4 linked regions of the Drosophila melanogaster genome follow. The protein of the gene in region 2 interacts with the protein of the main gene of each other region in a pairwise test. Each region holds a gene or a part of one and is shown on either strand. Other genes may lie near its edges.

What was found.
Region 1: the proteins of CG5172 (region 2) and hoka interact in a two-hybrid assay, tested with the Drosophila melanogaster proteins (one large-scale study listed by BioGRID).
Region 3: the proteins of CG5172 (region 2) and Fst interact in a two-hybrid assay, tested with the Drosophila melanogaster proteins (one large-scale study listed by BioGRID).
Region 4: the proteins of CG5172 (region 2) and ATPsynCF6L interact in a two-hybrid assay, tested with the Drosophila melanogaster proteins (one large-scale study listed by BioGRID).

What each region holds. Positions count from the first base shown.
Region 1 is NT_037436.4:4,896,280-4,904,629, reverse strand, and holds hoka (hoka), read right to left. Parts: upstream 5,731-8,350; 5' UTR 5,634-5,730; coding exon 5,588-5,633; intron 4,354-5,587; coding exon 4,270-4,353; intron 4,216-4,269; coding exon 3,935-4,215; 3' UTR 3,761-3,934; downstream 1-3,760. Other genes in the region: CG13705 (uncharacterized protein), read right to left, coding at 6,345-7,640, 7,712-7,714.
Region 2 is NC_004354.4:17,217,982-17,225,724, reverse strand, and holds CG5172 (uncharacterized protein), read right to left. Parts: upstream 4,284-7,743; 5' UTR 4,179-4,283; coding exon 3,953-4,178; intron 3,600-3,952; coding exon 3,516-3,599; intron 3,447-3,515; coding exon 3,238-3,446; 3' UTR 3,223-3,237; coding exon of another isoform or gene 3,179-3,222; 3' UTR 3,074-3,178; downstream 1-3,073. Other genes in the region: CG34327 (uncharacterized protein), read left to right, coding at 1,939-2,601; CG12998 (uncharacterized protein), read right to left, coding at 6,403-6,744.
Region 3 is NT_033777.3:9,642,750-9,650,482, reverse strand, and holds Fst (frost), read left to right. Parts: upstream 1-4,328; 5' UTR 4,329-4,355; coding exon 4,356-5,216; 3' UTR 5,217-5,505; downstream 5,506-7,733. Other genes in the region: Dh44 (diuretic hormone 44), read right to left, coding at 760-1,500, 3,342-3,464, 6,785-6,991.
Region 4 is NT_037436.4:5,009,046-5,016,322, reverse strand, and holds ATPsynCF6L (ATP synthase, coupling factor 6-like), read left to right. Parts: upstream 1-4,189; 5' UTR 4,190-4,227; coding exon 4,228-4,523; intron 4,524-4,578; coding exon 4,579-4,726; 3' UTR 4,727-4,879; downstream 4,880-7,277.

The sequences.
Region 1 (8,350 bases), on a different chromosome or scaffold from region 2:
TACCCAGTGTTTTGATGGTGTCCGCATTGTCCCAACTGAGGGATGTCTGCTTGCATCGATGCTCGAGAGGTATCGTTGCCATCAGATCCTGGTCATTACTAGCCCATTTTCGTAGCTCCATGCCAGAGGATTTTAAAGCTAGCATAGTTTGCAAACTTTTCCGTATTGCTGCCTCTTGTGAATGATCGCCTGAGAGAATGTCGTCGACATATATCTCATTTTTGAGAACGTTGGATGCCATAGGATATTTTGTCTGTGTGTCTTCAGCTATTTGATGGATGACTCTTATAGCTGTATAAGGTGCAGACGCTGTTCCAAACGTGACGGTAGTTAAGCAATGCTGTTTGATGACTCCATCCGCCGCCCGCCATAAAATCCTCTGGTACTGCGTGTCATCAGGGTGGACATTGATACAGCGATACATTCGTTGTATATCGGCAGTGAAAACAAACTGATATTGTCTCCAATTCAAGAGAACGGCTGGCAGATCATTTTGCAGCGTGGGACCTACACATAGTACATCGTTTAACGATCTGCCATTTGAGGTCCGGGCCGATGCGTCAAAAACGATACGTTGTTTTGTGGTGAGGCTTTCTTCTTTGAAAACTGCATGATGTGGTAGCACGCATGATGCAACATGCCGACCGTAGGAATCCGTGGTTATGGTTGAGTTTTCGCTCGTCTCTGCCAACGTGATTTGACCTAGTTGAAAATATTCTTCAATTCCTTTGCAGTATCTGATCCATTTGTCTGGGTCCCTTTGAAGGCGCCTTTCGAGTTGAAGATATCTGTTCAGGGCGATCTGATGAGATTTTCCGAGCGTCATACTGGGGTCAAAGTTCCTCTTGAATGGCAAACGGACTTGATAACTGCCGTCTGGTTGACGTTGATGGGTCTGCTTAAAGAAAGACTCGCACCATTGATCTTCTTTGGAGAGCTTTGGGCGTTCTGGAACTGATTCTACCTCGCAAAATACCTTAAGCAGCTCTTCGGAGTTTATTATGGCATGATTACATCGAATGTGGCGTGTAATATGCGTGTTGCCAACATTGCCTAACAGAACCCATCCGAGTTGAGTATTCTGCGCTATGGGTTCGTTTGGCAAGCCAATCTTAGTTCCAGGCAACAAGAGTTGTGCCATAAGGTCGGCTCCAAAAATGATATCGATTCGCTTGGATCTATAATAATAGGGGTCTGCGAGCGTGAGACCATGGATATGACTCCAGTTTCCTGCTGGAAAACTTTGACTTGGCATGTGTGATGTCAACGTGTTCAAAACATAAGCATCGTCGACCTTTAACGAGAAATTTGGGTTAGTTGCTGTTTGCACCGAACAACTTACGATGAATTTGCAGCGTCGTCCTGAATCTTGACCGACTCCGGTGATTGAAGTGCGAGTTGTGCTTCGGGAGAGCTGGAGAGACTGTACAGCATGCTCCGAAATGATAGTTGCTTCCGATCCTTGGTCAAGAAGCGCGTTTACCGTGGCCTGGCATCCTGTCTGTGTGTTACTGAGTACAACCCGAGCTGTTGCTAGTAGTACCTTTCGATGAGTCATAGATGAAGTTGTAGTTGACATGCACTGTAGAGTCGGCTTGGCATCTGAACTGGCTGCTGAACTTTGGCATGATGTCGAGGAGGGTATCAGCGTTGGCTGTGTTGCTGGAAAATGTAACATCGTGTGATGACGTTGACCACAATGAAGACAATTCTTGTTGCTGGGGCAGCTTGCTTGTGTGTGCGATTTTCCCAGGCAATTGAGACACAATTTTGCCTTGCTGGCCACTTCCTTCCGTTGGTAGCAATCCATTGAAAGAAATTGCGGACATCTTCGAAGTATGTGTAAGTTGCCACAATGATAGCAAGCGGACGCGGAAGCACCCGACCTGGTGTGGGCGCTGTGCACACGCACGCGTTTAGTACCGTCTGAAGTTTCATTTGACTGTTTCATGCCGCTGCACGCGTTACGGCTTTCAATAGCGTCTAACGTAACAAGTCGATCATTGAGGAACTGTTGCAGATCTTTGTATGAAGGAACGTCAATCTTGCTGCCCAGATGATGCTCCCAAGCTGTGTGAGTGTCTTTGGGTAGTTTGGTTGTTAGATAATGAGTCAACCAAAAATCTCCTCCCTGTAGTGGCGCCTTGACGGTATTGCAAGCGGCAATGCAGACGTTGACTGTACTAACCATAGACCGTATGTCAGCAGATTTTTCTTTCGAAAGATTCGGTAAGTTGTAGAGCATGTTCATGTGGCTGGCGAACACAATTCGTGGGTTGTTATATCGTTGTAGAAGTGTGGTCCAAGCGACTTCATAGTTTGCTTCAGTTAAAGCGATTTGGCGAATGTCGTTGTCCAGGCCTACTGGTAATGCTTCCTTTAAAAAATGGAACCTTTGAATCTTATCCAGACGCTCATTATTGTGAATTAAGCGTAAAAATGCATCATGAAAACTTGGCCAGTCCGCGCAGTTGCCAGAGAATTTCGGAACTGGTAATTTTGGCAGTGGTATCCGTACTTCCTCTACATGTGTTGTTATTGTAGAGTTAGCTGATTCGTTGTGCGTCACTGTGCCTGGATAAATTCGTTTCTTTTCTTCGGCCACGAAACAGTAAACTTCCATGCCCAGGTCTTCGAATTGGCTGATTGTATTTTGTTGCTTATACACACTTTCTTCGTAGTCTGCCATGCATATAAGTGTGTGATGCGCCTGATGAAATTCTTTGTTAAACTCGTCGATTTGATTCAAACGTTTTTCGAAATATATTTCCGTTTTCCGCGCACTCGAGTCTTTTTTCACATTACTGAACAAGCGCTTCAAAGACTCAATGCGGTCAGTTTGAACTCGCACCAGTTGATCAAATTTCGACATTGTTTATACTGACGTTGCTCCACTGTATGTAATATGCACAAATGCTCGTATGTTATCGGTGTTCTTCTTTGACGTCTTGTTTTTTGAGTTGGCAGAGATTCCGGCAAATCTAACGGAATCGAAGGGCAACGGGACTTAGCTCTGTCGTGATGAGAGCGAGCGCGAACGTTTGCGTATACTGCTCTGTCGTGATGAGAGCGAGCGCGATAGAAAACGTAGGCACGGTGATTTATCTGGATGAAGCCGACCACGAAGATAAAATTGCCAAACAGCTTTTAGCAATTATTAATTATGATTCTTATGAGCAAGGTTCCCCTCATGGGCCACCAATGAATAGTTGTGATGCCTCACTGCTTTGACATCATTGTAATGGGGTTCGCAAATAAGAATCATATATACACTATTTAACTTCATTTATTTCTTCATATACAAAAATCACGTCTGATCGCTATGACCGCAAAATTACAATGGAGAAAGAAAGAATACAGTTCAGTTCAATTAGCATCGATATATAAAATGTTAATCCGCTGTTAAGACAGCTGAAGCACCGGGTGACTCCGCTCATAATCCGTACACCCTTTGATATTTTATATTGGGTGTAGCTTGAAAATAGCTAGTATTTCCGCAGCCCCAAAAGTAGGCATTAATTTGCTTACAAATCTATTCATCTAATTAATCTTCATCCCCAGCATGGGCTATGAAAAATCCAAAACTCAAAACCAGTTTGATTTAATTAGATATAAATTAGCGTTGCGTGTGGTGCAGACAATGAGTAGACAAACTGGATCGGTCTTGGGCGGATATTGGGCCGCTTAGCCGGTGCAATAAAATGTTAAAAGCCAGCGTGTATCGTCTTAAAAACCGTTTAACCGTACAAATGTGAAGCTAGTTTGGCGCCAGATAAGTGGCAAATAATTTTATTCGAAAATGAAGGTAGACAAAGGGCACAGGTTCTATTTGTGTGTCGATTAAATGACAATAAAGCTAGTTAATGGTGGAATTTGAACTGATTTGGAAAGGGTTATGAACCAAAAGTGGTCACTTGGATCTGTACACATCTCCTCAGACAATAGCGGTGGCATGCGTTGGAGTGGGAGTCACATTGGCCGTCTCATGAGTCTGGGCAGGAGTATAGGTTGTGGCCGTGGCCGGATCGTGAGTCTGGGCGGGAGTATAAGGTGTGGCCGTCGCATGAGTCTGGGCGGGCGTGTAGGAGGCCGCCGTCTGATCTGGTTCCTTGTCCAGGATCACCTTCTTGAGGATGAAGTAGAGGGCTCCACCAATCAGCAGCTCACCTACCGCTACACAAACGATGAGAGCCCATCCGGGAATAGCAAGGCCAGCTGCAAGAAATAACAATGTTGAGCAATATCGATCACGTATACGGCATCACTTACTGAAGTATCTGCGGGTAAGGGTGCGTCGTCCGCGGTTCACACGTCGCGTGGCCTCCGATTCTTGCAGGCAGCAGGCCAACAGTACTACAGAATAGAAAAGAATATACAAATTTAATATTTGTTAGACATAGTGATTCGTCCGAGGCGCAAAACACACATCATACACATTTTTTCAATGATCACGCGGCGTGTGGTCGAAGGTGGCCTGGTAAGATTGCGGCATTGGCTTTGAAGCATCCATCAAACCCAAGCCAAACGGAACTCATTGAAATAACAGCAAGACCATTCATCATATAGATCTTCAAATGCGCGAAGACTTGTTAAGATATTAACAATTAATCGTTGAGAAAATGTTTAACAACAGAGCCGGGCCAAAATCAACAAAAAACGCTGATTCTGATTGAGCCAAAATAGCGCGCGCGCGCCAACTTCTTCGATGATAAATGTGAGCTGGCATATTCCTTCCCCATTGTTCCATTGCGGATGTCAGATTCGATTTCACGTAAAATTATCAAAATGTATTTTTAATTAATAATATTTTATGTGTGTGTTCGTTCAGCTCATTCGGCATATTTTGCGTATGAAATATTAAATGGATTTGTTTGTCGATATGGAAAGTGTATAGATTTTTCCTCGATTCGATTAGTCGGTGATTCATGGAGACAGGCATTTGACAAAACCCATCCGCCAAATGTATGTGGCTAAGAGTGCGACCGATTTTCGTTGGCCAACCGCTAACCAATATTAATTGTTTTCATTCACTTTTTTGTCTAACATATTTCATAATTTATATGCGCAATAATTATGCCACTTCCGGTTTTAGGGCATTGGACTTTTGGCCTAATAAAAATTGCATGAAATCAAAGGAAATGATTTCGCATTTACTCACTGCCAGCTAAATTATATGTTTTATTTGGGATACCTTTCAATCCAAAAAGATTTCCCTCTGAACTCACTGATTCACCACGCCCTAAAGTTAAGCACACCAAGTGATGGGGCAACAATGAGTAAACACAGTGCTTATCTGAATCGCACTGATAAGCACACATTTTTGTAGAGTTTTCTTGTGCCTGATTGTGTGACGCACACTTGGCCCAGTTACTCATCGTTAGAGTCTCCAATTGCTGAAGTTGGGTTATTAAAACCCCACACCTATGGAATCATACGGATGCATCAGTGCATCATAATGCGTTAAAGTCTCACACATGCACAATACTCCGCCCACACACATGCACCAAAAAGTATCTCGCCGGTGTGCTGCGTATCTCTAGTTGGCACTCAAAACTCGGCAGATTCGAACGAGCATGCAGAACTTTACCCAGGCATATCACCAAGTAGGTGGAGCACTTCTTAGCCAACTTCATTTCCGTCGTTTTCGTCGGTTCTTTCGAAAAACTTATGTTCGCTTTTAGCTGTTAGCCAAGTTTGTAACGCGCACGTCGTCGACTCCAAAGTGGAACTAAAAACCTGTGCGTGATTGCATTCGTCGGCAGGTGCTAGTATCTTATCTCAAAGCACCTTATCTTTCATTGATAAGATTAGAAGGCTCTCTTTTCTCCCGCTATATATTACTTCTGAGGTCATCAGCACTGAAAAAAATAGTTTCATTTATGTTCAATCTAAAATGTCTCCTATATTTCTAAGCCTAACATGTTCAATATGCAAAATTCGTTGAGTTCAAGTCCTTACACAATATTTTATATCTGTACTATCGAAGGACAATAAGAGTCTTCTTTATTTATTGCCCATTTTAAAAAATATTTTTATAAAATCTTTTCACCAACTCCTTCGACTTTATAAGCTTTATCCCAATCCTAGGCATATTGTTTAAAAGATAGTTCGAATATTTAAAAATATTCTGCAAAAAGATATAGTAGTTGTAGGATATTTGTTTTAAAAATGTTTATTATTGTAAGTTCGGGTTTGTACTCGGGTTGTTCATAGTGGATTCAAATTGACTAATACGCTCGACTTATTGTTAGTTTCAATCTGAGACTGTCAAAGTCAGGACTTCTTCTGGAAAAACATCCTCGAAAATCTCAAATGCTGCGGTGGGAGTTGGCGCAATCGGCGGCTTAGTGGCGACGGAGCTTCAGACGACGGACGGTCTTGTAGCGGTAGCCATCGCTGGCCAGGACGGTCTGCTCGGCGGGCACATCAATGATGGCAGAGGCGGTCTCCTCCACGGGGGGCAGGTACTCGCCGGAAGGCAGCTCAGAGACATCACGGCGGCGACGGATCACACGACGCACGGTCTTGTAGCGGTATCCATCATCAGCCAGGGGAGTCTCCACAGCAACAGCCTCGGAGGCGGACTCCTCAACAGGGGGCAGGTATTCAGGGGACAGCTCGGAGACATCACGACGACGACGGATCACACGACGCACGGTCTTGTAGCGGTATCCATCATCAGCCAGAGGAGTCTCGACGGCAACGGCTTCGGAGGCGGATTCCTCAACAGGGGGCAGGTATTCGGCGGACAGCTCGTTTACATCACGACGGCGACGGATCACACGACGGACAGTCTTGTAGCGGTATCCATCAGCAGCCAGAGGGGTCTCAACAGCAACAGCCTCGGAGGCAGACTCCTCAACGGGGGGCAGGTACTCGCCGGAAGGAAGCTCATTGACATCACGACGACGACGGATCACACGGCGGACGGTCTTGTAACGGTAACCATCATCAGCAAGAGGGGTGTCCACAGCAACAGCCTCAGAGGCGGACTCCTCAACAGGGGGCAGGTATTCAGGGGACAGCTCGGAAACATCACGACGACGACGGATCACACGGCGGACAGTCTTGTAGCGGTAGCCATCATCAGCCAGGGGAGTCTCGACGGCAACAGCCTCGGAGGCGGACTCCTCAACAGGGGGCAGGTACTCAGGGGAGAGTTCGGAGACATCACGACGACGACGGATCACACGGCGGACAGTCTTGTAGCGGTAGCCATCATCAGCCAGGGGAGTCTCGACAGCAACAGCCTCGGAGGCGGACTCCTCAACAGGGGGCAGGTACTCAGGGGAGAGTTCGGAGACATCACGACGACGACGGATCACACGGCGGACGGTCTTGTAACGGTAGCCATCATCAGCCAGAGGAGTCTCGACGGCAACGGCTTCGGAGGCGGATTCCTCAACAGGGGGCAGGTATTCACCGGAGGGGAGCTCGTTCACATCACGACGGTGGCGCAACTTCAGGCGGCGCACGGTCTTGTAGCGGTATCCATCGTCGGAGAGAACTCCCTGCTCGGCGGGCACCTCCACGAGTTCGGAGGCAGATTCCAGGTTGTTGTCCACTGGCGGCAGGTAATCCGTGGCAATGGAGGCCGCCGAGGCAGCTGCGATCACAGCAAAGGCAATGACAAAGAATTTCTGCAAGGCAATAAGCGAAGGAGAGGGTTATGGGTTAGTCCTGGTCGCAGGATGACTGCTGGAGAACTAACCATTTTTCCAGAAGATCCAAGACGATGTCTGCTAGATTAATCCAAAGTTGATTCTGTTTTCAAACCAGACCCAACGACACTATTTATACACAAACTGCGCGAAAAGTTCTCGGCTGACCGATGTCCATTCACTTTGCGAGATCAGATGAACTGAGATGAGCTATGATGATCGCTGAGCAAACCGGTTAACAAGCGGCGAACTACCGCATCGATCGATGGCTTCTTCTACTGGGGCCGAACTCAGATTTGGATTGTCTAGTTGCTATTGTCAAAAAGTGTCTCAAGCACCAATTGAACTCTGGCTGGCCATATAAGATGATTAGCGCGGCCAGCTGCCAGAAGACAAAACGAAAGTAAACAAAGACGAGCCGGCGAAGTCCGCAGATTTGTAGATATTTTAGATTTGTAGATTCGTAGGCAGATGGAACAATGGTCGAGGGCTCTTCGATTGTCTCGATTATTTGCATCGATTTATGTCTGCCATATGCTTGAATAGATCGGATACATTTGTGACAATCCATTACCATTGGTAATTGCAAGCGGAAGTCGCCGCTTTTCAATGTATTTTTGGATGCTCTTGCCTCTCGGATCTCGATGAGCGCTTAAGGCCAAGATCGGCCGAAAGTATTTATACGCCAT
Region 2 (7,743 bases):
ATTTCCATTTTAAATTGCGTGTGCTTTGTGCTTGCATGGGGAACCGGTTAAATTTGGCTTCCTGCTTCGAATCTTGAGTCGATTCTGCCGCTGACCCAATGGCCAAATGGTTGAGGTCATCACCTGCCAATCGAAGTAAGAAGAAGGAAGGTAATGAGACAGGTACTTAGTGCACTTTCGACATCTATTTCGGCTTTTCTGCAGCACTTGCGCAACCAAAAAGCGCATTTGATTGTTTTCCAGCCATCGATCAATCCGTCGCAAAAAAAAAAGCCTGTCAGTCGATCGAACAAAAGAGCCAAATTTGATTTTTATGCCGCCCATGAATTAAAATCGAAACGTGCAAAAGCCAAAAGGTTCAAGCGGTTCGGTTCTAGAATTGGCCGATCAGACGTCTATAATTAGCATTTTGGGCCAAGATAGGCCGATTTAAATTTTCAAAAAAATATTCATTCTTGTCTTTGTTCTAGAGGATTAATTTCTTGCGAATAAATTTGGGGTATACCAATAAATAAAAATTCTTTTCAATGATGAGCTTTAAAATACTTCTTGTTGTAAAATAGTTATTAATGTGATTTAATCAAATTTTAAAAATAAATATTTTTAAAATAAAATATATACCTAAAAATAACAATATAAAAAAAATTGATAAAATAAATATTGTGAATATATTACATAAAAAAATATTCTAGCCAAATGTATATACATTTCGGTTTCTATTCTTGTTTAGAATTATGTCTGTGATAAAATTGAATAATCTATAGCAATGATCCGCATTTTTAAAATAATGATATAGCTCATCGTGGTGTGAGACACCTACTTTCGAGACCCGTCAATCTCCTGTGATGGGTTCTGTGCCAACTCATAAGTTGCAGCGGAACAATTGGGCCCAAGTCTCCGATTGATTGATTGATTTGCGGTGACCCGATTTTCAAGACAGCACGAATTATGTGCAACCGCACGGTAGCACGGTAGCCAAAAAGACAAACACGCAGCTGCCTCGATCTCCATTTCCAATTCCATGGCACACCTCCTCCACCTGCCGTCTGCAGTGCCAATTTCTATACCGATTCCATTACCAATTCCATCTGTATCGCCATCGCCATTCTGAATAATGGGCAGACATAAAGAACCGATCGTCAGATCAATCCCTGGCACCTATATCTATAGTATCCATCCAACCGCCGGCGGGCGAACTCAATTAAGTACTTTGCGGTTGCTACATAAAAATGGAGAGCCATTAGATCGGCGATCATGATGCGGTATCGGCTACTGGGCTACACTAGACTGCAAAATAAAAGTATGCCTTGGGCTGAAATTTATAAAATGATTTTAATAAGTATAATTTTTGAATAATTGAATAAAATATATTTACCTTATTATAAAGACTTGCTTAAAAAAGTCCTTTTGTAATTTTAAACAACCCGTTTTTTTTTAATATATATTTAAGTGAGCTTCACCTAAATGCCCACACAGCTCTTCAATTTGCATTCATAACACCTGACATTTTCCCACTGTTTTCATGAGCTGATCGTATCCATTATCCTGAGGTAATGAATCCATTGTTACAGAGTGTCATCTATATAGTAAAGTAAATCAGGTGCTCCATCTGGGGGCGTTTGCTGGGCACAAAACAGCCGACCTACGTGGGCCCACAAAGCGTACGAAACCGAAAGTTGATGCCGGCATAATGAGGCCCGAGTACTGAGGTGAGTTGAGCCACCACCCGAGCCACTCTGGCCCACTTTGAACCACTCGGAGCCACCCCGAAGCGCCCAAGCACTGGCCATTGTAAGCTGGTCGCTGGCAGTTTTGGCAATTACATCTGATTATACGAGGCAGCGGCTGTGGCGAAGCTGTGGCTCAGAATCTTGGATGGGTATAAATAGTCGAGAGTGGCTGCAGTGGGGCATTAGTTAGTGCACGGCAGCTGCGGAGATGCAAACCACGATTACAACGCGACGACTTGGCCTTCTCGGTCTGCTGGTGGTGCTGGGCTGCATAGTCGCCCAGGGCAAACCACATGGCTGGAGCAGTGGCGGCGGTGGTGGAGGCTGGTCCTCTGGAGGATCAGGTGGCAGTAAGGTCATTATCAGTGCTTGGCCTTCCAGCGGCGGAGGAGGTTGGTCCTCAGGTGGCGGATCTGGAGGATGGAAGAGCGGTGGTGACGGCGGAGGCGGCTGGTCATCTGGTGGATCAGGAGGTGGCTGGAAGAGCGGCGGCGGCTCAAGTGGCTGGAAGAGCGGCGGCGGCTCAGGTGGCTGGTCCTCCGGTGGATCCTCCGGCTGGCCAAGTTCCGGCAGCTCTGGCTGGAAGTCAGGAGGCAGCTCGGGATTATCCAGTGCACTGTCCAGTCTCTCCAGTTGGAAATCCCAAGCTTTGGGAAGCTTAAGCAGCGGTTGGAAAAGCGGCGGCGGTGGAGGTGGCTGGTCATCTGGTGGTTCCTCAGGCGGCGGCTGGAAGAGCGGCGGTGGATCTGGTGGTTGGTCCTCCGGAGGGTCCTCCGCTTGGCCCAGCAAGATTAGCAGCGGTTGGTCCTCTGGTGGAGGTGGCGGTGGTTGGTCCCCCGGAGGAGGCGGAGGCAGCGGCTGGAGCTGGTAATCAGATCCTGGAAAGAAAACGGCATCCATCCGAGAAAAATCGGCGACGAGGCGACACCACTATCCACTGCTCAACCTGTACATAATAATTCTGCCCTTAAATTAACCATTTTTTTTTTTTGTGTATCTAACTATGTGAATAAATCTTACAAGAAAGTAATTTTATCCCACGTTTTTATTTTTATGGGTGAGTTTATTCAATTATTTATAATTTAAAAAATGAATCAAGAAAATTAAGGGAAAATTTTTGTTTGAAAATGTAAAGAGCTAGTATGTATAGTAAATATATTTTGGGCGTATATTATTTGCCATTGCCGCCAACTTTTTTAATTTTTGCATCTAAATTAACTATTTTTATTTCTTTGGTGAAAATGATACAATTTTTGCAACAGATTATAATTTTTCATATAATTTTACTTCCCCGATAATGTAGTAGATAATGTAATGTGCCCCATAGAAAAACAAATATAATTACAAAATGCATAAACAAGATTTATTAGTATAAAAAACATTAAAAGCAGGAAAAATTGGGCTTTCGATAGAAGAAAAATAGAAGAATCTAGGGATTGTCTCTATCTCTATGCCATGGAACACAAGTCAGCATCAGACGGTGGATTAGCTGCTCCTGGTGGTTTGATTACCAGCCACCGCCATGTTGTTTGCCACCTCCACCGCCACCACCACCGTACAGGCCACCACCACCTCCTCCGCCGCCTCCGTTCTTGTTGCCTCCATTTCCGCCCTGCCAGGACACGGAACTACCGCGATTGCCGGCCAAGGACTTGCTTGCATGGCCACCGCCTCCATGACCGCCGCCGCCATAACCTCCTTGTCCTCCGTGGCCACCTGAAATGAATATACAGGTTAAGAAAAGCATTGTAATCTTGGATTAAACTAATTGAACTTAATATTTACCTTGATTGCCACCTCCATAGCCTCCTTGTCCACCACCTCCTCCGTTCTTCTGCCAACCTCCTTGGCCACCGCCTCCATGTCCACCTAGAAGGCAAGTGTATATAAATATTACAGATATCGTAAGCCTTAACCCTAACATCGGTAAATTATACATTTTAAATATTAGCTGACAATTTTTTAAATGAGGTTATAAATTACTCAAATATTTATTATGTACATATTTTCTAAATGTTTTGACCAAACATTTGTATGCTGAAAGCATTTTAACTATTTACATACCATAAAACGTTTTTGTAAAATGAGTTTTTTAGAACCAATAAAGTATATTATAACAAAATCCATTTCATTATTAAGTTATTAAATCAAATTAGGCATAGAAGTAATATCGGATTATAGTTAGTATTAACTATAGGCATATCCCAAATATATTCACTTGCCTTGGCTACCGCCTCCGTAGCTTCCCTGGCCGCCACCTCCATGGCCGCCTCCTCCGTTCTTTTGGCCACCGCCGCCGTAGCCGCTCTGACCACCACCACCACCGCCGTAGCCACCACCACCACCACCGCCGTAGCCACCACCACCGCCTCCACCGCCCAGCAAACCGGCTGAGGTTAAGGCGATCAGCAGGCAACACACGAAAACAAGGATCACAGCGTGACGCATCCTTAGAACTCTTTAGTCACTCAAAAAAATATAGTAAAAAAAAAGATTGTTAGACCGACTTAGAACCGCTGTGTAATCACTGCTGGAGGCTCAATATTACTGATGAACTAACCCAGAATCGAGGCACCTTTTTATAGCTCCGAAAGGCGGAAACTTCGGCTGAGTCAGCAGCCTGCCATCCCTTCAACTCCAAGCTGGAGCTCCCAAAGGAAGGTTAAGAACTGCACTTCATGTCGGCACAATGCGGCAAGCGGCTGGCTTCACCAGCAACTTGTCTGGTTTAAAAAAGTCTCAAGTACGTCGGCGCACTCGGCGGATACGCAATGTGCGCTGTCTGGGAACATCGCGTATACGCCACCGCACCACTTGCAAACTGCTGAGCCATGGCTGCATCATTAATTGCCAGCGCACATAGCACATTTGGCCACGAAACGCCTAGCAATTTGTCTTACAAGTTTACTATTTCTATGCGAAATTCTAAGAATATTTGCCTTTTTCATTTTGCGCCATCCATTCAATTTGTTGTTGAATTTTCTTAATTATTATTTTCAGTCTTGCCGCTTGGCAGGTTTAAGTAAAGTTTGGAATTAATGGAACAAATTTACCGACGCTGTAGAGAATCGTTGGGAATCGTTGGTATATATTAACTATTCTTACGAATGTATTTAATGTATACTAGGCTTACTCCCGTATTTTATTTGTTTATTCAATGCAAACATATTTTAATAGGTTTTTGCATAAATAGAGCTTAAACCTTCAATACACGATATATTGTTTATAGCTTGTCGGTAATTTAAGACGTTACTTATTTGAATATTTAATCATATTGTTTACTACTTCAAACATTTTTATGGATATTTAAATCGACCAATTTGAATTTTCGCAGAGCATTAAAACGGTGCTGTTAAAAAGGAAAAATGTTAATATAATTTTCATTTCGTACTTATGTTTAATTTCGGCTTCGTTTCTCACTACAGCCATGCAATGTATGCGGCGATTAATCTTCATTTATACAGCAGCCGCAATTGAATCGCCAAATGGAGGAGACACGACTCCGCAGACACTGGTTCAATGTCAATTGGCGTGCAAACATGGCTGGCTGCATCGCTCAAGTGCATTACTTACCATAAATTTCATCAACTCCACCGTGAATGTGAACATATTGCTTTTCTTGGCTCCCAACGCGTGCTGCAGATATGCGCAAACAACATTTGTTTAGTTGGGGGCTTAACCCAGAGCCAAAACCACCGAGCTTAGGAAAATTGTCTGTACAGTGTACAATTTTAAGTTGGAAACTGGCAAAGTAAGCTACAAATGCATATAATTGATACCAATAACCAGTAAAATGAATTATTATAGACAAAATATTATACAAAGTTACAATTAATTTCAATCCTTGTCTTATATTTTTTAAATATTCCGTTACAATAATTAAGGTTCATAAGAAGACACTAACAAGCTGGTATTTTACATTTTCATTAAAAAATATAAATATATATAAAACATGTCGTTCCGTCAAAGATTATAAAATCCGGCCTTCATTTTTATATGAAACCGTTTGTTGTTGAAATAAGGGAAGTTCTCTGTGGCTTTGATTAATGTATAAAAAAATACAATTTTATCTATGCTTGATTTTCTTTCTTAAGAAAGTTTACTTTATAGTGATTTTAGAATGTAACGATAATTTTTTTCATTTCATATTATAAAGGTCAAATAACCAAAAGCTGAATTAAATAAATCATTTAATTAAGTCCCGAAAATTAAATTTTATGCTTCGTTTTAATAATAAATCGATTCGCAAATATACTTGACATTTATATTTTCATAAACCTAAAAGTGTAACCACAGTGCCTCCACCTCCAAATGATGATGATGATCTCCGCTGAACTCCAATCGCATCACCACCTTGGCCACCAAGACGCTGTTCCACAATCATTTGCGCGATGCATAAAATATTAATAACTGCTCAGTCAGATATATAGTCGGCTCCCAGGCTTAGAATGTTAATTGCTAACGATCCATAATTTAAAGATGATGCATCATAAAAATGTTAACTTTATGCCTTTGATTTATTCATTTATTTATTTGTTACACAAAAAAAAATGGTACTTAAAAACTATGTTATAAAATCGGGTGGATTGTGAACCAGGTGCGGAGAGAGGGGATCGGGATTGGGATTGTGCTTGGATTTTTCGTCTCCTAGAGATGGTAGCTCTTCGATTCTTTACCACCATCCACTATTGGAGCTGGAACTGGACCATCCATTGCTGTTCCATCCGGAGTTGCCGCTGCTCCAACCAGAGTTTCCACCCCATCCGGAGTTGCCGCCCCATCCGGAGTTGCTACCCCATCCGGAGTTACCGCCCCATCCAGAGTTTCCGCCCCATCCGGAGCCGCCGCCTCCTCCGATCTTTATGACCTTGATGACTTGCGGCTGCTGGGCAACCCAGCCACTATTCCATCCGGAGCTGCTGCCGCCCCAAGGATTCGATCCCCAGCCCGAGGATCGGACCAATCCGGCCGAAACACAGGCCACCAGTGCGCAGAGTACAATGAATACCTTCATTATGTGTGGTTTGGGATTTTAAGCTTTTAGTCCTGACTCGGAGAGTAGATCCTGGTTTGTTTTGCTGTGCGTCTCGAAGTGTGGCACTCGAATGCTGTAACCACTGGATCACCACTCGCTATTTATCGCAAAAATAACTGGCGAACTGCAAACTGCGTGGCCCAGACTAATCTGGACGAGAATCCACAAAATAAATCTCCAGTGGCGGGTGGCTGGGCCAGGCCAGGCCCGGCCCGGCCAGGTCGGGTAATTGCAGTTTATTAAACCACTTTGAGCGTCCGATTCTTGACCAGGGTCAACTGGGTCTGCTTTACAAGCAGAGGCAGAAGCCACAACTGGGTAGCCATCAAGCCAAGTCAGCCAACCATGTGGCAAAGTTGCAAAATTCGTACATAACTCACACGCTTGATGGATCATTTCCTCGCCTCGCTGCTGGCGGAAACTGCAGCAGAGCCTGCACTGCGAGAAATAACTAGACGTTTGGAATAAGGGTTGAATATAAAGTAATAAAGGTGTGCGTGAAATTTGATAAATGTTATGTATATCATCCAGACTATAGTGTCATCACGCTCTTAAAGCTAACCTAGCAAGGCTTCTAGAGAAATATCTCTAAATTATCGGTATTTTAAACAGTGTTTTGTGCAGTCTAGCTTTAAGCTTAAGCTGAAACCGAGAAGTTGGCGTCAGGTGAGTCATTTGTCAAACTGGCAGCTTAAGCCGCAAACGGAGACACTTGCAGATAGTTATGAAGACGGAGATGGAGATGGAGATGCCGATGCAGATGCAGATCCCAAGTGAAGGGGGCAAAAAAAAAAAAAATAACTGGATTTTGGCGATGACATTTCCTGATCCTGACAGTCAGCCGAAGGACAAGGGAAAGCCCCGAACAAAACCACATTCAATGTCTACGTGATGGTTGATATGTGTATTTAAATTATAACTTGGGCTATAAACAACAAGTTTCTAGATCATAGGCTGCCATTGAGGTCGGTAGTTAAC
Region 3 (7,733 bases), on a different chromosome or scaffold from region 2:
TAATTCTATTTGAGCATTTTTTTGTTTTGTTTTGCACAAGTTAAAGCACAACGAAGCAAACGTAATGAACATAAAAACCGATTTCCGCCCGCGGAGAATGTAAGCCACAATTAATAGTTGGTAAACAAGTTTTGCTTATGTGGATAAAAACGTGAAAATCCCATTTGACTAGTCAATATTGCATGCGATTGATTAATTAACGTCGAGCGTTAAAACAATTTTTTAAATTACACATAGATCACTATCAATTACGCATACATGCAATTACGTTTATAATCCTTAGCAGCATTGGTGTATTGGCTAAAGTTTCGGCCATTTCGATCTAGAGTAAAGTATCTAGTAGTATGCACGTTAGCATGGGTATCTATGTATGTTTCACATTAATCGGGGACTTTATTTTCAACAGTATCTGTGAGAGAGGTAGCATAAATCGTTACATACACCGTTGGTTATTTTCGATAAAATAGAGTTCAAATGCGAGTACATCTAGCAACGTGGGAGTAAGTTTGTCATCAAGGGAGTATGTGCACACACAACATGCCTGCCTTGTAGCCAGCCATTAGGAACCGTCGATTTGCATTAATAACCTTCCAGCACTCAGAAGCCGTTGGGTGCCCCTATCGCATCGTATCCGTTTCGGTATCGGTATCGGTATCTGTGTCGGTATTACATATATCTGTAACTGCATATGCATCTGTATCTGTATCTGTATCTTTATCGTATCTGTATATCTGTGTTTGCATCTCAATCCCTACTTACTTAATTAACGTTATGCTGACTTTTGTGAAAGCGGTAGGGAAAGGACCAGGGCACGCGGTCATTTGCATTAACCACCACCAACTCGTTTGGTTCCTCATTGGCCCAGTTGGGCTTGTCCTCCAGCACCTCGAACCGTTCCAGACCCAATCCCACACCCATTCCCAGGCCGAGTCCCACACCTTCTGTTCCCACGTCATTGTAGCTATCCTCGCCCTCATTGTCGCCGTCATCCACATATCTCGCCGGGTTTTTACTGGCCCCATTGCCATCGTCGTTCTCATGATTCGTTTCGTTGGCTTCATTTCCGCTGACCCGATGCCTGGCCAGACTCATTCCGGCCACGTCCAGTGGTTTCTTCGCATAGCTGAGCAACTGCAACTGCTTTGGGAGTGCCTGGGATTGTGGTCCAGTCGATGCTGATTGCTGGGAGTCCGCAAACTGTAACTGTGACGACTCCTTGTACGGCGACAGGGCCCATCCGTAGCTCCACAGTTGGCTGGGGAAATGCTTCCACGGCAGCAGCTGTTGACGGTCCAGCTGCTCCTCACGAACTGCATCCCTTTCCCTTTCCCTCTCCCTCTGCCTTTCCCGCTCCAGTTCCCGCTCCACTGGCCACTGCTGGCGGTAGCGCCTGCTCACCTTGGGAGCCAATCCTCCTGCTCCCGATCCTCCGCCTCCTCCTCCTCCTCGCAGCACGACCCTCTTGCCCACGTTCTTCAGGATGGCGCGATTCAGTTCGACCTGGACACAAGAAAGGTAACACGGTTCACATAAAGTTAAGTAAAGTAAAATGCTGTTAACTGCTGTAAAATGGTTGACAAATTGAAATGGAAGTGGGGTAAGCCCGGTTCTCCCTTATCCCCATGGATTTTCCATGTACTTTTCCCGGCAAAGGGAAAGCTAAACTAGATTGACATGCATGATGGATGACCACATTCAATTTGGATCACAAATCAAATGCCAGTGCGTTATTACATTAATCGAGGATGAGGTATGTGGCACGATTACATTTTAAGCACTTTAAGATACTTTAGGAGCAGCTTTAGTTGCTAAACTGAAAAGCCACCAGATACTTTGCCTAATTACTTTATAGTTACTTTAAGTCTCAGGTGCTTGTATAAAACATACTTTAATATTTAAAGCCAAGATGATTAATCGTTGGAAATGTATTTATACCTTTTCCTATCTTTTAACTTAATACTCGGTTTAGCTTAAATCCAATTTAAGTGTAAATGCCAACTTGCAGTTTTCACACCTTGGAAATTCCATTCTTCTAGTGCTTTGGATATTTATTTAAATTTCTTTCTGTTTGCCAACCACTTTGCAGGTCTTTTAAAGAGTCAGGTGTTTGCATTGAGCTGGGGATTCAATGTCTAACTCGTAAGTTCGGGTGACATTGCATTTTTCCCTTTATATTTTTGGCCATGTGAAAGTCTATTTTCATCTGCTGGGAATAGTGCACAAACCGAAACGTGATCTATTCCTTTAAGCTGTGAATAAGTATGTCGATTCATTTTGTTTGCATTCAAATTCAAGTGGTGAATGCTATTTCAGATATCTAGCTCCATCCTAACTTTTAAATACACGTTTCTAAATGTAACTTTCCTTTAATTGTGTGGTATTAAATTTGACAGCTTGCCGTTGAAAACCTCATTTTGTTTCTTTGAAATTTCACTTTAATTTCACTCCATTTTATTTCCCTTTTATTTGCCAGTCTAACCCAGGTGTTTTCCGAAAACATTATGCCTGCTGAAGCTCATCTTTCTCCGATTCGGATTGCTTTCGGGATGCATGGATTAATTTATGAAACCCCTTTGACAAATCAATAATGTTATCTGGCGTATGTGAATAGGTAGGTGGGCATGCGGATAGGCACATCCATGGATGAACATGACCCTCTTTAACGGAAATTCGTGGGAGGAAAGGTGAAGCTATCAAGGCAAATCGTTTGAATTCCTCGTATTAAAACGTTTGATTTTTTTTGTTTTTAACATTTTCGTTGGCCTTTTTGTCTTTGTGTGTGCGCCTTTGGGGGATCGGAACGTTTTGGTAACCAAATAAACTCGCTTTGTTACCGAGCAAAAATATTTGCGTTACACATACGCCATGTTGGCTTTGTTTTTGGCACTGAGCCGCATGCATATACGTATGTATATTTTTGGGTGTCAGGGCCATCCGATGTGCTTAAGCCTCGATTTCGGGTTCGCCAGGATGTTGTTTACATTCCAGGAGCAAGTAGGTGTGTGGGCTGCACAGAGTCTTACCATTTGGGTCCTTTGGAAATTTATTAGATTCGCTAGCTGCGATGAATTAAAAAACTTTCTGCACCTGCGTTTTATGCGTTTTTATGGCTTTCGAAAAGTATTTCTCATCAGGCATTCTAGTTTTGATTAGCCCGCTACATTTTCATTTATACCTTGCAACGCGACCTACTTTCATTCCCCTTAAGACGCGGCATTGTTCTCCGTTTGTCTGGGCCATACGAAGCCAAAGTTTTGTTTTACCCTCCTTTGCAGCTTATTAAAAATACTTGGCCAAGTGGTCAGCCATCCCCGTTTAATATTGCAGAACACGAGACTGACCTGGCGGGAGTTCTCCTTCATTTGCCTGCGTGCGATTTCCAGGAGCAGACGCTGGCGCAGCACATCCAGCGGATTGACAATGGACAGCGATGGTTTGTTCCTCTTGGCCAGCAGAAAGTCATCCTAGAACGAAATACATACATATTTAGTACGTTAGATTCGCTGTTTGGCTGGAAGAAGTTTCCCAGCGCATGGCATAATAAAATCCTGACGAGGTAATGCAAAAAGTTTTAAGTCCCTGTGTTTATATACAGTTCTGTGCTCGAAGTTTATTCTTTTTTTGTTTTGTTTGTTGATGGAAATTAAAATTATTATTAGCATCGATGGTGAGCAATCTTAAGGGCCTCGGCTATCGCATATTTTTTATATCACCTTTTGTTTTTCCCACAATTCGGGAAATTATCGTTACACAAAATCTTGCAAGCTTATCGGTGTGTTGTTCTACGTTTTTTCCACGATGATCAATTGGGAATTTCGTGATAACAGCTCTTCACTGATAAGTGTGAAAACTTCAAGCTAATTCATGACTCACACGTAGCCACAAAATAAAATTCAAAAACAATTACCTTGGGGGGGCGGTTAAAAAACACCTGATACTATCACTTTACGATCCGCCCAACAACGCATATCGCAATTTCTTTACACCACATGAAAAAGGGGATTTGGATTTTGCTTGATCATAAAGAAATTACCCGAAATTTATACAGAGTCTGGACAGGTGCTTCTTTGGAAAAATTTAAATATTATCTTTTATTTGTTGGTGTTCCTTCCAAGAAGTATTTACGTATCCTAAGTTCAGGGCAAACAGTAAACAACCAATCCGAATTCATGTTCAGATAAATATGATAATTACGATTATTGTTGGTCTGACTATCAGACAGGTTACCTGCGATTAGATAAGAATGTGGCAGTGTGAGGTCGAAATGTCTGGCAGTGAATGGAAGTGGTTATCAGCTTTCTATAAAAGCTATGTCCATCTGCAGAACCCGGTAGTATAATCGAAACAATAGCGAAATGAAGGTCCTAACTCTTATCCTCTTCACTGCCTTGGTGGCAGTGGCTTCTGGCCGCCCCAATGGCGGTTGGTTCGGAAATTTTGGCAGCAACTGGGCCAGGAGGTTCGGTTGGGGCTCCGGTGACGATGAAATCGTGCAGGAACAGAGGTGGAATAGCCAAAATCAGTGGAATCCAAATGGCAACGGTCAGGGTCAGTGGGATGGCGAAAATGGTCAGGGACAATCTCACGGAAACAATCAAGGCCTCGGCCAAGGAAACGGACACGGAAACAACCATCATGGTCATCATGGCAACAGTCATGGTCATGGTAATGGTCAAGGCCACGGTGGACAGCGCCCTCCTCCACCACCACCAACGGATCTGCCTGAGTTGACCACCGAGGATGATGTGGTATCCACCACGGATGTTACCAGTCCCGCGGAGGAGACCACTCTGGCACCCGAGGTTCCAGAAGAATCTACCAGTCAGGCACCAGAGGAAATCACCACCGGCTCTGAAGAAGGCAGCGGTTCCTCGGAGGACACCACCACCCTGGCCCCTGAAGTTCCGGAGGAATCCACCACTCAGGCACCGGAGGAAAGCACCACCGACTCTGAGGATGGTAGCGGTTCTGAGGATACCACTCAGGCTCCGGAAGAAACCACCACCGAGGAGCCTGAAGAATCCACCAGCGAGGCTCCCGAAGAATCCTCCAGCGAGGCGCCCGAAGAATCCACCACAGAGGAGCCCGAAGAATCGACAACCGAGGCGCCTGTAGAATCCACAAGTGAGGCACCCGAAGAATCGACGACCGAGGCTCCCGAAGAATCCACAAGTGAGGCGCCGGAAGAATCCACTATCGATTCTTCAGCGGTCTAGGAAGTTAGTTTCATTGTTACCAAGGTTTCTGGTTCATTTTCTCAATAATCGTTTAAAATTTGGCGTTTCCGAGTAACAAGGTTATTAAACAAAGCGTTATAAAACGAAATATGGTGCAAATATTAAACTGTTATAGCTAAATTATTAACATGTTCTCCCAGAAGAGCGTAAAACCATTTCTAGGGTTAGGATTGAAGCCTCATGAACCCACATCGTGTTATTATGTCACGCACTCGCCATTTAGTTTTATAGCTCCAACAATCTGAACAATTAAAACAACCGAAAAATGAAAAAATCCCAAGTCACGTTTACTTATATGACATTACTCAAAACTTTAAGGTTCTAAACGCATTATAATGCTTATCACTTAATTGAACTTTCGCTTTCCGAACCATGAACATTGGCTTTTTAAGCGTTGCGAGCCGATGATAAACTGATTGATTGACGTACATACATCAATCAATGAATCGCTACTTGACTGATTAGTTGGCCAATCGACCCTTATCGAAACATACATATGTATGTACACATGCCCATTTGTTCGAAAGAACATATGTTTGTGCCCAACGATGTGTCATTTATGGTGGTACAAATGGAAAATTTCGTAATTGGCCTTTAACGTCGCCTCGGGGTTGTATTTTTAATTCTGCCCCCATCATAAAACATCATTTCATTTCTTTCAGTAAATAAAATTAAATTGTTTACGTGTCCTTCGCATTTACGTGCTTAAATCTCCAATTTGGCAAACGAACTTGCCTCGCACTCCAATTCCAGCGAATAAAGAATACAGAATAAAGAATCAACTTAACAAAATTCGAACTTCTTAAAAAGCAGTGGTAAAACTTTTGATTGTGGACAACAGGAGTTGGCCAAGACAAACAGCATGTTTGGTTTTCTTTTTTTCTTCCTTGACGTAAATTTCCATTTGTTTTTTAAAACATAAAAAACCCATAGACTCAAATCAATTTTGTTGCCATGTTCGTGTGCGTTTGGGAATTTATACGATCTTTTTGTTCGACCGAAGAAGTTTTACATTGAGGTATTCGAATTGGTCAAGTGCCTAGATTAGATTGTGGCCAAAATTCAGATCGAGGTACCAATAATGTGGTATTGATTTCGAGGAAATCGGAGAATGAAGATTTGCCACTACTATAAAATGCCTAATGTACTTCCCATGTATGGATAACTCTTGATAAGAGCTTAATCTTTTAGCAATTTAATATATCCGCGCTAAATAAACTGCGTATGAGATATTTTTCAATCTATTTGGTTTTAAAGGGTTGTGCGGAACCCTTTGCGGTCACATTTTCTGGCTTCTTGTAAAAGTTAACGCATTGTGGCGAACAATGTGTCAATTTATGAACCGAGTGAATGGAACCAATGAAGGTTGTCAAAGGAGCGATGAAATCGCCCGTTTGCGAACTGCCGAGCCAATAATTGAATATGCATTCGGAAAACATTCAAACAAGTGACGCAAAAACTGCTGTCACTCACTCACAAAGGGAGACAGCCAGAAAGAAATGCACACCAATGGCCAGGACTATGCCCATGCCCATGCCCATGCCCACCTGTGAGTTCCGTGTTCCATCCGGGTAGTCCAGAGGATATCCGTTTGTGCGGCCGCTTCCGCCGACCTCCGCTCCACCCGCTGCCGCTCCCGATCCTCCTGCAGCTCCTCCTGCTCCAACTGCTCCTCTTTGGGCCGTGCAGACGAGCCTTGTGGCACACAGTAAAGTTAATAACACCGGACAAAACCACGCTGTGGCTTTCATCATTCTGCAAAAAAGGAGGAGAAAAAAAAACGCACAGTTGCATGGGTCAGTGCACAATTCATAGATATGCATGTAACGCCAACAGTTTCAGCATAAAAAAATAAATAAAAATCTATCAAAATGAATGAAGAACGTGAGTATTAGTGTATATATCATATCAACCAACTCTGCTAAAACTATGCATATTTATTTACAGTACTATAGGTTATAGGGTATGCAAAGTACCATACGCTATGCAAATTTGATCTGTTCATTTGCGTGGAAAATTAAGCTCATCTGTGGCTATTATTTTTTGAATATTTTCCGAGCCACTGTCTTGTGCAAACTTTGACCTCCGCCGTTTTCCCACTGGAATAGAGTGAAAATAAAATGCTGACAGCTAACCTGTGAAAAATGCGAAATATTCTGACAACAAGAAGTGCTCTCATATTTTATGGGTCACGTAAATATGTGGTACTTCTGAATGTGGCAGTGTAGTTCTTTATGTACTTCCGAGTATGCACCTATATATTTACATATGTATGTATATCAATCCCATGTCCCTCTGGACTCTTCAATCAGTTGGCAACTGGAGTCGGGGGCAATTTGCACGAGGTGCACAGAGGAAATTAGGTTCTAAATTGAAGACGGCGACGAGTAAACGGCAGCACAACTAGATTATTTTCCTGTTGCACAGCTAAAGTTACCAGGGGAAAAGTTATTTCCAAAAAGAGGAAAAGGTGCTTAACTTGGAAAGAAAAAGTTC
Region 4 (7,277 bases), on a different chromosome or scaffold from region 2:
AAATTAATTGAGTTACATTATGCATTAGTGCGTCTCTGTGAGCCAAACCCCAAAACAGCAGTAGCAACAATGCATCAGTTGGCAAGTGAAGCCGAAATATTTCACAGCCATCCGAGCTGCTTGAATTGCCAAAATGCAATTGGAATTACAGCGGTCGCTACAGAGGGGTCACACAGATACACACCCATACACGCACACACTCGGGCACTAACTGACATGCTAAATATTGCATTCATCTTGTGCATTGTGTCCATGTGGCAAATAATTATGGCATTAATATTCCTATGCAAATATATGTGCACAGTGCTTTGTTCGCCATATCTCGGCATCCGTGAGATACAATCCGCCTGTTTGGCTTCGGTGGCTGGGGGTCGGGCAGGGCATGTGTTCATTAATACAATTATGACCGCAACAGGCGTGGGGCATAAACACGACTTCAATCCCTTAGTGAAACCATGCACGAAATATATTTATACTCAAAAAAATTTCTTTGAATTACAGAATTCAGCTGACCTAAGAAATATTCCAACTTGCATGCTCTATCTAAAAGCCACCAAGTAGCTTTAGTTTTGTTACAAATTTCCTGATTGATCAATATAAAATTCATTATAACATTAAATTTTGTAAGATAACGAAAAAATAATTTTTTTTCCATTTCTAAATGTGTTTGAAGAAGAATTTAGACTACCTGCTCATAAACAGCGGATTCTGACTACGAACCCAACTTTTTTCCCTGTGCACGCGATATCCGCTCATTTTTTGGCCGCCGAATCGGTGAGGTAAGCTCCATTAGTGAGTTTTGTTTAATCGCATCAGCCAGCCGAAAATCCAAATCAACGGCAGCTGCAGCAGCGGCAGCATCCTCCGGGCAGGCCGAAATGTATAATCAAGCAGGTACAGACTGTTAATGGATCTAATACCCCATATCCCGTATTCCCGGACTCCGTGCTCCATTGCAACAAAGACCACCCAATGGCACCCCCTTCTAAGCACAGATTTGGTTCGCTCTAATGAGCTCTGCGTGCAGCTTAAGGGCAACTGTAGCACGGCTGCTTCTATTTGCGGCACTTTGGCAATATGTGGCTAAAATTACTTGCAACTGCCGGCGGCAGGGTGCAGATACATCACCACCAGATGCATTTTAATTGGAATACCGAAACAGCGAGTAATAGCGCACATCGAAAAAAAGAAAGAATAGTAGGGCAAACAAAAAGGCGGCGACTGCCCAATTAGAAGCCTATTAGTGGTAACCACCACCCCAACACCACCCTCTTCCAATCGGAACTGCTCCATTGTTGCTGGCAATTTTACCAGGACGAAACAGAGCGCCCAAAGCGAGACAACAAATTATGCCAAATGGCTAATGAATAAATATCCGCAACCAGCACTCTACTCCCGTCCGCCGGATAGTTGGCATCCTTTGAGATGCACTAAAGAAAATGGAAGAGTGCCTGTAAGCCTTAATGATAAAATAAAGAAATCATTTTGGAAAAATATTCGAAATTCATTGAATATATAGTAACTTAAATAACTTGCAGGAATATATAAAACGCGAATTTAACATATAATACAAAATCATTTGTAATATCATTTAAAATTATTGTATTTTTTTGAAAACATTTGTGGTTTAAAACAATACAGTTGCACTCATGTTTCTTGATTGCAAAAAAGAATCTTTCTACAGACATTTCCATATTTGCAGCTTTTTTTTTTAATATACACAGCTCTATGATATAGGTTACAATGAGGTAAACGATATTAAAATTTAATTTTTTCCCCCTTTCTTTATCCTCTAGTTAAAAAACGTATTTATCATTTTTATTTGCCGCCGCGTTGAAGTTGCACTTATGAGAGAGCTCGGCGAAAAGCGCACACACGGGCAAAAAGCGGCAAATGCAGTTTTGTATATCGCTCGGTGCCTGTGTAATTGTATCTGTGTGTACTTTGTGGCATGCCACATAAACTTGATGCTGCTGCTGTGTGATATTTTAGCATTGAGCAGCTCTCAATCCCCCAGCATCGCATCCCGCAACCCCCTTCGCTCTCGGTGATATTTAAATCCTTGTTCCTACGCAGGGATAGCTGTTACGCCGGCAAGGACTCGACTCAGTTGGCTTTTGTATGCGCATTAATGCAACGACTCTCATGTTTATTCACACACAAATTTGCAGCGAATACAACGCACAGAGACTGCGGTGATAGCGGGATGCATTCACAATCCCACACAGAACCCCGGGACTCGGATACACTCGCACTTGGCTGAAGCAATCTGCTGGCAAATGCGCTTTACATTTTGCACACGCTAATACAATTTAATGGTCGCATTAATTTGGCGCATCTGTTGCATTTTAAAACACGCACACACAGCCACATCATGTACGAACACCCACACAGTTACGTGGATAGACTGGCACACAGATGCACAGATACACAGATACACAGATACACAGATGCACAGATACATATACACGTTCAAGGAGCGGCAGGCAACCGCAGGATACTTTGCTCACTTTGTTGTCGGCGGGGGAGGTTAAAGCATTTGCCAACTGCAAATAAAGTTGCGCTCAGCTAAATATTAATTCTAACCAAGTTAGGGGAAACTACTTTAATGGCGGGGGCGTGGCAGCCGCACAACTGCTTAATCCTTAGCTCTGTGTAGTAGTCGGAATGAAGATTGAGATACATGCGCTCGGCACCAGACAAAAAAGACCTGATATATGCCACCAGCAGGCAATAACCGTTTCACGTCTTCTTGTTTTCGCCAATGAACGCTTAAACTATTGGTGCACCGAACAAAAATACTAATAGAAATAGGATCGCAAGTATGTTGATAAAACAAGTTTCAATATTTTAAACACAGATAAAAAACCTCTTAATATTTATAGTTCAACTCAGTTTTTTTGACAAAAACTTATATTAGTATTTGTATTAGAAACTTGATCGATTCAAAACACGTAGGACGACAGCCAACCCTCTTCATTGGAATGTCAGATGCGTGGGAAGTTTGTTATTGCTGCCAATTAGGTTGCCATTCTGTTTGTGCCAATGTTTGCATATTATTTCTGCCCAATTTGCATTGATGCAATATTGTCCATGTCCCGCGCAGCGCTCCCCCCTCCCCCCCCCACACCTCGTTCCACTACATGGCGGCGTCAAATGCAGAAAATGTCAAAATTTAAATATTGAAAGTGACGTTGGCGTACAAAAACCCCTCGTGTTGCGGGCGTTGCACTAAGCGGATAAGCGCTTGTTAAATTTTTAATGCGTTGCATAATTTTTAGTTCGGTGTGGATATTTTGCACACAATATGTACGTACTATATGTTCGTATATTTTAATTCGAGTGGCGGATGCGAAACGCAGCATGAGTGCTGGCTGCATTTGAAATGAGCCGCATGTGGCGATGGCCGATTAAGCCCGGTTTAGAAGCTACACATTCCTCATTTCGCACTCGACAATGATCCATTTATTTGCACTGTCAGCGATGGTGCGGGAGGGGAAAAAAGGTGAATGGAAATTTATATTAATTATAATTTTCACAGCCATGTCTTCCCATCAATTATCAGAGTTTGTCCGACGGCTCAGTTCTCTTTTCAGCTCTTTTCTGCTCTGTGCATTTAAATTTTTCCCCTGCAAAGTCCTTGATAAACATTTTTCAATTAATTTTTATTTGCTGCCGCCGACATTTCTTTGTCCACACACGCGCATATATTTATGTATCTTGCTGCGTGCACATAAGCAACAGCAACAGCAAGTTGACGGCAGCAACATCATCGCCTTTATGTGTTTCACGTATTTCTTTAACGGATTTCCACTTGTCTCACTTTTTGAGAAAAACTTGTCGAGATGGCACTCGCATTGTCAAGCCCACTCACACACAGACATTCGCAGATACGACGAGTCAGACAGAGAGAAAATCTTACACGCTCGGGAATAAAGGAGAACGGGCAGCAACGGTGCGTAAAAATTCGTCCTGGAGCAGGGAAGCACTTCAGATGCGTTAGCCCAAAATGCGGGGTTTGATAAACGCAAAAAATACTCAAAATAAAAGATATAAAACGTTTAAAAATATAAATTCAAATCTTAAAAAAAGATGGCTTACCTGTTCTGAAGACAATGATTTTATTTTAATTTTGAAATCAAATTACCCTTGAGTAAGATATCTCAGAATCATATTTTATCGCATAGAAACAGTATCGTGTCAGCAGAGAACAAAACTAACAAAAAAATGTTTAGCCGTTTCCTAAAACCAAGCCTAGTTTTATGTAGGAGTGTGAGCAATACCGCATCCCTTCGCTACAAGGATCCCATTTATCAGATTTTCCTGGACAAGGTGCGCGAGTATCGGCTGAAGAGTCCCAAGGGAAAGCCCGTAGATCCTGGTCCGGAATTCGAGGCGGAGCTGAAGGAAGTCACTGAGCGCCTGGCTCTGCAATACGGCGGCGGCGAGGGCGTGGATATGCTCGAGTTTCCGAAATTCAAGTTGCCCGATATTGATATTGATCCCATTTCGGTTGATGATCTGTAAGTTACAGTTAAATTGGAAAAAGTTTTTATAAAAATATAAATATTTACTTAGACCAGAGAACCAACCAAAGCCTGAGAAAAAGAATAGAGATAAAGAAGTAAAGGCCAAAGAAAAGGGTGGGGAAAAAGAAGTGAAAGCCAAAGATGGCAAGAAAGCTGACGAACCAAAGGGCAAGGATGAAAAGGACAAGATAAAGTAGATCATCACTAAAAATAATCGTTTTAAATGTTGTTAAAATTTTCGCACAATTCTTAATACTTTAAAAATTATAAAATGTTTATGTTAAAAGAAAATGAATTTAAATGCCTGCAGATTCGAGCTACCCGTTTGTAGCTGTTCCAGGATAGAGCCGAAAAAAGAACGCACCGAAATTTTTATTAAGCACATACATGCATAAGCAGCACTCACACACACCATGCTTTTACCATGTTAAGTAATTCCTTAAACAACACAACAGGTCGCCGCCATTCGCATGGCCTTGTCCCTCCCCTTGGTCCTTCGTCCTTTGGCGCTCCCGCACGCCCCATCCCACCCACTTCCATTTTTTCCGTGTAACTGACGCTGAGTGGCAGACACACAGATACTCACACAAGCAAATTGAATTTAATGCTTTCTGCTGTTGCTCTTGATAAAACGATGGCAAGCGAGAGGAGGCAGCGTGTAAAGGACGAGCGTGGGAGCGAGAAAAACAAATCAAGAGACGTCGCGAAGGAAATACAAGCCAAACGCACAAATAAATACGCACAAGTACATAAATTTAAATTATTTTCGTGGCCTGGCCTCGCTTTCATTTATGCTTTTTTATTTTATTATGCCGCTCCGCTACAGTCGGCCTCAAGGATCCAAAGATCCAAGGATCCGGCATTTGACTACGGTCCAGACGTCCTGGCACACTTTCTGAATGCCATACGAGTGTCTGGCAGTGCGGTTGTATCTATACCCGTTGTATCTGTGTCTATATCTCTGGTACCGTTGCTGTTAATCTGTATCTGTAGCTCTGTGTCCTGTAACTGTGGCAGCGCATCTTCAGCTGTCTCTTAGCGAACTATGCGCCCGCATCGAGCAAACAACTACACCAACACACCGAAGACGTCCTTGGTCCTTGTGTAAGGCATGTTAACTGGGATTTGACAGCTCGTAAATAATATTTCGCTTGTTTGTTGGCTCGGTACAACGAGAGCAACGTCTTGCACAAGGTTGAAACAAAGACAGTGGTCTGAGTTCCCAACTTTATCTTTTTGCCTAAAACAAGGTAATATTCTTGTATTAAACCTGAGGTTTTATACATTTAAATGGCTTCTAAGTAGTTCAATTAAAATAAAATTAAAATATTTAATAATCTCTAATCACAAAGGAGCAGCGTTTAATAATATCATATTTCCAATCTTTGGTAAATCTAAATTATTACAAGAAAAACTGTTTTATTTAATTATATGCATATATTTTTTATCATAACTTTTTTCTTCTCATATCCGCTCATTCCTTGACATTTTCAACCACTGTGACCTATTCGATGGCAGCCATGTGAAAACGAGAAACGCATTTCATTTTTAAGCTGCTCCTTCTTGGCTCTGCTTGTTAAACAGTCTTTTTACATGACATGTGTGGGCGGTGGTTGGTTGGTTGGTTCATCCGGAGAGTCAGATTCTGATTCGAATGAGATGCGGTGGCTGGATGCTGGCTGGTTGCTGGCTGTCCTGGCATGTCCCGATTTTTCGGGACCAGGCCGCCACTCTCATTATGCGCACTCTCCTCGTTGCCGGCTTATTAAATTTTCATAAAGCACAGGCGCTCGTAAAAATTGTGCTCGGCCGCTTTTAAGCGCAAGTGGATTAAGATTAAAGCTTCAAGGAATATGACTTCAAAGGCGGACGAGCCGTAATTAAAGCCATGAAAACTGTCCGCAATTCGATTGCCGAAAACTGAATTAAACTGCGAACTCGACCGCCCAAGAAATAAGAGAAGTTGGGAAGTTAAGGAGAAACCAGGAGAACTGGAAACCACAGAAGGACTTGGGACTTCACCCACCGGATCCGCTCAACTGGAAGAAGATGATGGCGATGACGAGGCGGTGAGAGATATCTAAGGTCGCTTTCCCGCTTTTCTGAACCACACACAGACACATGTCTGTGGCTCAAAAATATATGTGGATATATATATATATATATCTGGCCGCTGGCTGTGAGAAAAGTGAAGCATCTTGTGCAATGTAAACGAAACGTAGCCGATAAAAATAATACGAGAGGCAATTTCGATTTATTGACAGGTGCTCGACTTTATTGAAACGTTTAACTTGAAAACCGATGCGAAAGGAGGCTCGCTCCATACATATAGATTTATGTATGTAGTAAGTGAGCACATGCAAAATTGTGCAAAACGATAAAAATTATGTGAATTTCGTTGTGATTTATCGCTGTGAGCCGGGGCGGCGCTTGGGTTTTATGTGCCCAGATTTATGGCTTCTTCGCCTCGCCCAGGATGTGCATTCGAATTTTGGACAAATTTAATTACACTTTTACCTTGTGTGTCTTGTGCGGATCAGCCACGCACTATTTGTCATTTTGTCCGAGACCCATAAATTCCGATGTGCATTTAATTTTGCCGAGCCGCACGTACGCATCAATGCCTGGGCATTATTTAATAATGAAAATTGAATAGTCCTAATTCAACCTGATGACAAAGTGGGTCCAGGTGGATATCTATGTGTGTATATGGTTTGGTATGTGAGTGTGTGCAGGACACGTGCCACT